2 linked regions of the Oryzias latipes genome follow. The main gene of each other region encodes a partner of the protein of the gene in region 2 in a complex. Links are inferred from orthologs where the notes say so. Each region holds a gene or a part of one and is shown on either strand. Other genes may lie near its edges. The genes, in order: polr3gl and polr3b.

The links.
Region 1: polr3b (region 2) and polr3gl share a complex: the UniProt entries of both Homo sapiens proteins name them as parts of the RNA polymerase III (Pol III) complex. The link is inferred for Oryzias latipes from reciprocal best matches to the Homo sapiens genes POLR3B and POLR3GL.

The regions. Positions count from the first base shown.
Region 1 is NC_019874.2:32,576,340-32,580,260, forward strand, and holds the start of polr3gl (DNA-directed RNA polymerase III subunit RPC7-like), read right to left. Parts: upstream 2,554-3,921; 5' UTR 2,395-2,553; exon of another isoform or gene 2,359-2,394; intron 1,416-2,358; 5' UTR 1,373-1,415; coding exon 1,268-1,372; intron 1,017-1,267; exon of another isoform or gene 950-1,016; coding exon 820-949; intron 742-819; coding exon 673-741; intron 596-672; coding exon 539-595; intron 425-538; coding exon 336-424; intron 271-335; coding exon 136-270; intron 68-135; coding exon 1-67. UniProt on the Homo sapiens protein: DNA-dependent RNA polymerase catalyzes the transcription of DNA into RNA using the four ribonucleoside triphosphates as substrates. Specific peripheric component of RNA polymerase III which synthesizes small RNAs, such as 5S rRNA and tRNAs.
Region 2 is NC_019864.2:21,468,944-21,472,864, forward strand, and holds the start of polr3b (DNA-directed RNA polymerase III subunit RPC2), read left to right. Parts: upstream 1-1,619; 5' UTR 1,620-1,736; coding exon 1,737-1,862; intron 1,863-2,082; coding exon 2,083-2,115; intron 2,116-2,793; coding exon 2,794-2,850; intron 2,851-2,932; coding exon 2,933-2,997; intron 2,998-3,070; coding exon 3,071-3,146; intron 3,147-3,921. UniProt on the Homo sapiens protein: Catalytic core component of RNA polymerase III (Pol III), a DNA-dependent RNA polymerase which synthesizes small non-coding RNAs using the four ribonucleoside triphosphates as substrates.

The sequences.
Region 1 (3,921 bases), on a different chromosome or scaffold from region 2:
TGTTGTCGTCGCTGTCGCCGCCGAATTCCTCGCCGTTGTCGAAGTACGACATGATGTAGTCGGTTTCCTGCACAGAGGGTCCAGTTAGACCTGCAGAGCCTCCGTGGTTCTGACCCAGGCCTGCTGACCACGTACCTCCTCCAGTTCTTCCTCATCATACTCCTCCTCTGCCTCTGCTCCCTCCTCCTCCTCCGGCTTCTTCTTCACCCCTCCCTCCTCCTCCTCTGAGCTCTGCTCATGCTCCTCCTTCTTCTCCAGGGTCTGCAGACACTTCCATTAAAGCCATCATCATCATCATCATCATCATCATCAGAGGTTCTATAGAAACCCTTCACCTCCAGTTTGAGCAGCACCTCCTCTTCCTCCTTCTTCTTCTTCTTCTTCTGGACTGGCACAGAACTATCCATGGTGCTGAAGGCCAGACCTGAGGGAGACAGCAGCTGATGCTCACCCCCCTGAGTAATCTGATTACTGCTGATGAATACTGTTCAGACGAGTCAGTAAGGTACCCAGAGTACTGAGTAATGGGATTACTCGCCTTCTCTGACTCTCCTCCTGATGTGGACCTGCAGCTCTCTGGGGAATCGTCTCCAGTCTGAAATCCAGAGACGTGCAGACATGAAGGTTCTGATGGCGTTTTCATTGGATGTTACCGTGGTAACGGCGTCTCACCCAGGTTCCAGTCCGTGAGGCTGTTCGTCTGCTCGCTGCTGTGATATTTGTCCGAGTAGCGCTGAACATCTGCACAGGAAGAAAGCAGGACTTTCAAAATAAGACTGCGTGTGTGTGTGCGCGCGTGTGTGTGTGCACGTGTGTGACCTCGCTGTGCTGCTGCTGGCTTGATGAAGAATGGCAGATTCTTCATCACTCCTCTAAAATCCTGCTTCAGGGCCAATAGATACTCTGCTTCTTCTCCACCTGCCAGGGGGAGGGGCTTCTGCTCCATCACCTGGACACCAAATCCACCAACTTCAAATCCCAGAATTCAGTGCTTCAAAATCAGCGCATTACCCCAACTGTTGGTGTCAGAGCAGAAAAATGTCAGAGCTCCTCTTTCCTGCATCTGTTGTTTGTTACGGTTCACGTCGAGACGATAAATGTCTGCCTAACGTAGACGTCAGTGACATCCCATAATAACCCACAAGGTTCAGAATGACATGAACAGCTTTAACAAACAATGAAAACAACAACAGAGGGATTTCATTCAACCAAAAAGAATAACACTTAAATATAAATGAGGGGTTTTCCTGGTGTGGGCGGGGCTTACAGGAAACACAGGCGTGGGCTGCTGAAGTCCTGGGGGGAGACCTTCTCCCCTGCTGATGCTCGAGTCCGTGCCGAAAGGCCTACGGCCCCGCCCTCGTCCCGCCATGGCTGGTCCCCCTCAGACAAAACCGGACCGAGCCAGAACCGCCCTAAAGACACAACAGGACCCCACTGTAAATCAGGATACGTCCACGGGGTAAGCCCCGCCCCTGTCACACAGCCCAATGACCACTCCCCCTTTTCAGGTCAGAGGGAAGCGCATCAAGGCCTTTCAGGTGTGTTTGATCGTTTTCGGTTGTTCCTTCCATCCCCTCAGAACCTGATGTCATGTAGCGTCTGTTCCAGCAGGTGGCAGTATACAGGCATTTCCAGAGGAAAAAACGGGAATAAACCAGTGACTGCATGTGGGAACTGGACCGAGTGGCCCCGCCCCCTAGCGTTCCAAACAGGAAAATCCCGTAGACATCTACAAACGGCTGTTCCTCAGTCGTTCTATGGGTCAGAGGAACCGCTCTGGATCTGATTCTTTAGAACCTCTTCCTGATAATCCTCATTTTTCATTTCATTTCTGTAGTTCAAGGTATAAACTGACCAATCAGACGCCTCAATGAAAGTGGGTGGAGCCTGCTGACCCTAACCCCAAGTTTGACTGATTTCTGTAACCTGCTTTCAAGTGGGTGTGGCCTTTCAACAAGCTCACTCCTGGTTGGTCAGTGTGGTTGCTATAGAAACGATGACTCAGACCAACTCGGACCAATCACTGGCGGCGGCGTTAAAACGGCGACTGAATTCTGCATTGACTAGATATGGACTAGGAATCGGATCCGTCTCGACAGGGAACCATTCCAGCCCTGATGACGTATGTGATGATGTCACTGACGACACTGCAGCATGTGGGGCCTAAGAACCCACGTTTGAACCCCTGCTTCCTGATGACGTCACGCCTCTCTGGTCGCTGTGGTTCTGAGCTGCTTTCAGAGAAACGAGGAAAATGTTTTGGTTTTTGATTCAGGGGCTTCGGCTGACGTCATCAGCCTCATCGATCAGGCTGATCGTGAAGCTCCATCAGAACCCTGCGGGCTCCCTTCTGACCTGGGCTCGCGCTCGGTCGGGTATGACTCCTCTGACCTGTTCCCGCTTTTCCGTTACGGCTGCAGCTTAGTGCGCGCTCCCGCGGCGCGCTCCATGTTCGGTTCAGACTTTCACAAACTCCACCACGAACGGTTGTTTACCGTCCCCGGACCTCGCTTTACAGGCGCCCCGCCTACTACCCACCGGAAATGTCCTACGGCAGTTTGCGCGCGCTTGCATTCTGCGTTGGGCCGCGCGTTTCTGCCCCCTATCGGACAGGAGGACAGAAATCCAGCTACATTTATGGTCGATAGCAGTGGCGGTTCTACCCTGAATTACTCCCCGCGCGAGACCCCCCCGCCCCCCCCCCCATAGAGTCACTCTGTCCATGTCAACTGACATGTTTTATTGGAGCAGAAGTAGCAGCAGAACAGCAGCAGCAGAACAGCAGCAGCATGCTACCATCACAGCTCATTTAACATTTATGAACTAAGTTTACAACAGCCTTTGGCTGTGTGTGGGGCCATAACCATAACCATAACCATAACCATAGCTGGATCGCAGGCAGTGTTTGGCCGCTCATGCGACTCCTGTGGAGAGTCCTCCTGAGCTGGGGGGCAGGTGCCGCTGTTTCTTTTGTTTCCCATCGTTTGTTTGCATTTCTGCTCTATCCAACCCGCTGACCCCTTGGTGCACCGTTGTCCAGGAGCGGTGCCACGGCCGGGATTTCCGGGGATCGTGTGTGCTCTGTACACCGTTTCAGCGAGTGCCGTCCATCCACGCACTGGGGAGCGGCGTGATGAAGCCGGATCGAGAGCTATCGGAGCGGGTTCCCCCTTCCGGCCTTCTGTGGCCCCGGGCACAACCAGAGCCCAGTGTCCCACCACCCTGGACTGGCGTCGGTTACTGCCACTGTACGCAAGGGGCGTGGCATTGAGCCTGTTGTGCCGCAACAGAGCGCACGGCTGGGTGCAGCTGACTGTGTGGGCTGGGCATGATGGCCCTTGTGGTTTGGTTAACTCTTTTGGGTGTCTTTCAGAATAGGAATTTTAATACTATTTGTAATAAAGGGTGTCTATTTTCTTAAAAGCACAGTCTTGGTTTCCTGTCGGAGAGTCCTGTGCTCTTCATTTTAAGTCTTCTACTGGAGGCATCCAAGGGGAAACCATACTGCCACAGGAATCTTGGTGCTGTGAGCAGAAATTGACGTCAGCGCCAGTTTTGGCCTGTGCTGACTTCACACTACCCTTTATTCTGGAAGTAGATGCCAGCCACAATGGCCTTGGTGCAGTTTTGTCCCAGGAGCAGGGTGGCAGTGTGCGGCCATTGCCATGCCAGTAGGGGGCTAAAAGCTACAGAGCGTAACATGCAGAACTGCAGCTCTATGAAGCTGGAGTTCTTGGCTCTTAAATGGGCCATGATGATTATGAGATAAAGTATCGTTCTGGCAGAATGTGGACGCCCTGTCACGACATCCCAATCGTAGTTCAGCAGGGGTCGGCGACATGGCACCCGGTACTTCACAAAGAAATGACCGAAAGAAAGATGGCCGACAGGCTTTGAGGACATTCCTGCTAAAATCTC
Region 2 (3,921 bases):
TTTTTGTCAAAAGTGTAAAAATTTAAACTTTATTTTTAGTTGTTAGTTATGTTAAATTGTGTGGGATTGTCCTGTGTTTTCTGTTTCAATTTTTTTTCGTATTTTATGACTATTATCTGCTTTTATGTTAGGCGCTTTGTGTTTTTAGCCAAAATGAAAGGCACTATACAAATCAATAAAGTTTGAAGTTTAAATTAGTTTGGGTTTTCTCCTGGAGCTCAGGTTTGCCCTAAAAAAAACTCTTCATCACTTATTAATATTGTTGCTTATTGTTAAAATTATAGAAATTAAAACTGTTTATTTAAATTAATATTTGTCAATCAATCAATTAATCAGTCAATGAATTAATAAGTCAATTAATCAATCGCTCAGTCAATCAATGAATGTATGAATGAATGAATCAATGAAAGAAAGAATGTAATGCAACCACAGGGGAGCACAATCCAACTCTCTTGTGCCGGTCCCAAGTCCGGATAAATGCAGAGGGTTGTATGAAAGCAAAACTAAATTAAATATATCAATCACAAACAGAGTTAATATCTAACTGTATGTATGTATGTATGTATGTATGCATGTATGTATGCATGCATGCATACATGCATGCAGGTCGGTTCATCCTGCAGCGCCAGTTCTGCTTACCAAAACTGGCCCACTAGGCGGCTCGCATTCCATGGATTACTTCATACAATTTTTCTTGTAAAATATTGAGCAACTATGATTGCAAAACCATTCTTATTACAGTTTTTCTCCATTGGTTTGGCTCATTTCTTGAAACAGAAATTACATTCTCAAAACAACATGGACAAACTTCCAAACCACTCTGCAATTGTTCACAGCAGAATGGAATTTCTCATTAGTTTCATCAAATTGCAAATGTCTTAGTACTTGTCTCAATGTCTCAGTACATCTTTGCAATTGATTAAGTACAGGTAGCCTTCATTTAGCACAATTTCCAAGTGAATAGATCTTGTTGATCTAAACTGATTGTTGATTCTCAGTCTAATGGTTGTTCTCTCCAAAATGAGTCAGCATCATTTCATTGTGTAAGTCATCACATGCACAATAGTCTGAACATTATACCATGAATATGATATTTATGAATCCCTTGGAACATTTGATAAATTTAATACAGAAACTGACAGTGAGGTGAAACTAGAACTTGACTAACGAAGGAGGATGTCCCAGGATGTCCCATAGATAGATAAAATGAACTTTATTAATCTCCCAAGGGAGATACTCAGGTGTCTGGCAGCAAAACACACACAATAAATAACAATAAAATAACAGTTCATAAAAAAAGCAGTTCATATCAGGCAGATTTGTTAAACAGCCTAATAGCTGAAAGGAGCCTATAACTCCGCGGCTCCTCTGTGCTTTGCTGACGGTCACAAACTAACAGACTGAGTAATTTCATCTCCTTTTTTGTCTATCTGATGAAAACAGTGATTCAATTTGAATTGTTGTTCAATATGTCTTTTACGTTTTTTCTGCACTTACTGCAACTAACAGACAGAGCCGGGCAGGGACCCTTCCACAACACTAGGGGGCAGCAGTACCCACCCAAAAGTGCAAAACACCGGGAGTGAAAGAAAAAGACAAACACGCGGAACCTTTCTTTCGTTCCTCCTCGAATGTACGGATGCTTTACTGCGATACACGGAACGTTGGTTTTCCAGCAGCAGTCGGTGTAAGACTGTTTTATTTATGAGTTAAAGGTTAACCAGCTATTGTTAACCATGGAGGTCCTCGGTGAAGAATTTGGAGACATGACTCCCCAGGAGTTGGCGGCTCCTGTCAACACCGTGGCTGTGAGTTTGCGTAAAAACAACACACAATTTGGCCCCTCGAGACGAGTCAATGCGGTGAGGTGGTGCGCGTGTGTTAGTTTCATGGTGGAATCAACAAAGTAAAAGTTGTGATTCTTGTTGATGTTCTTATTTCTTACGAGTCTGTTTCACGAGCCATAAATAAACTTCTAATGAATTCAAATGATGTTCCTATAGGAAATGACTAATTCATTCATTGCTAGTTCTTCATAATTTCTGCTCTGTCTCTCTCTGTCATCTTTTTCTTTATTGACAGGATAAATGGAAGCTGTTACCAGCCTTTTTGAAGGTAATAATGTTTGGGTGGCTGAGGACATGTGAAAGTCTTTTTGATTCATTTTGAGCATTTTTATGCTACTATAAAGCCCTAATAATTAAAATTAATCAGAGAACTTCAATAATCATGCAAATGCAAGCACTTCAGAAATCCTAAAAAAAAAGGGTTCTGTCCATGATCCGATCTCTTTTTATAGTTTAAGATTCAAACATTTTGCGTTGTTTTTAAAACATCCTATTACTTTAATAAATATTATTATTGTTGTTGTTGTTATTATGAAGATGACAAACCACATATATTTATAGACTGAGTCTTTAAAACTGAGATGTGGGAATCGGCTCCATAAAATTTTAATCTTTTTGTAATCTCAAGTAAAAAAAAAACAATTTAAAAAACCATATCCAATGTTTGCATAAAGCTCGGCTTTTCATAGATTTTAGGGTGTTTTAGGGTGTTGGCCCACAAATGTCTCATATTTTTGTGATGTCAGAAATGTTTTAACCTTGTCAAGTTTTTAAACAGTAAAACCAGACCAAAATGTTAGAATTTAATTGAGACCATATAGAAAAACATTAACATCTTTTAAAAACAGCATTATTTTGATATGCATAGTTGACTGCTGTTTGAATGCTTTAGCATCAGTATTTCTTCTTGTCTCTGCCTACGTTCGATCTTCTGTGTGTTCTGCAGGTGAAGGGTTTGGTGAAGCAGCACATCGACTCCTTCAACTATTTCATCAATGTGGAGGTGAGGCTCTATCCCCGCATCAGCGTTTGCCACATTTGCTGTGTTTGTCCTTGCACTTCTGTTCAAACGTCTTCCTTTTCAGATAAAGAAGATCATGAAAGCAAATGAGAAAATCACCAGTGATGCTGATCCCATGTGGTACCTGAAGTAGGTTCAATGACAGAAATTCAAACCGAACTTCCTGATAGCAAATATCCAACACATTTTTTACCCCCTGCAGATATCTAAATATCTATGTCGGCATGCCTGATGTGGAAGAAAGCTTCAACGTTACCAGACCCGTCTCTCCTCATGAGGTGAGAAAGGCAGCCGATTTCTGTATAATTTTTTTCTTTAAATATACCTATCTTAGATTAATGCAATTGAAAATAAATATTTTGCAATTTTGAACAGCCCTAAAGACTTAAATACATGCTCTCCATATCCTTCTGCATTGAAATTTGGAAATAAATACATTTTTATGTCTAAATTAGAAACTAAAATCACTTCTGTGTTTTTGAAAATGTCTTAAATTTAAAACACTACAGGTTTGAATTAATGATTGAAAATATAAACATGAAGCTATTAATGGTGCCATCAGCAGCAATTAGAAGGTCCATAAGTAGGAAATTCTGGAAACAGTTGGCCGAATTTTAATAAATTAGATAATAGGCTCAATATTTGTGCAGTTTTCCAGACATACAAGATGATCCCATTTAAGGAAGAAGCTTAAAAAATTGTGTGGTCTATCTTTGTAGAAATAAAGTAAAAGATTATTTAAGTCCAATTTTACCTTCCACTTTAATTTCCCTAAAGCTTTGAGTAAATCACAACATCTTCTCTGTTACAAACGATAATATTACAAAAATGTAAGCATCTTTGGCTCATAACATTTCAGTAGTTTATAATTTATGCCACATTCAATGGCTCAAGAAAAATCAAAACAATACTTTTTGTTTGATTTTAGATTCATTCAGAACCTATAAAATAAAATAATAAAAGCTCACTGTATGGCAGATTATCACTATAATAATAATTGATTGGATTTATCTGCGTTTTTCCAGACGCTCAAAGCGCTTACAGTTTGTCCAT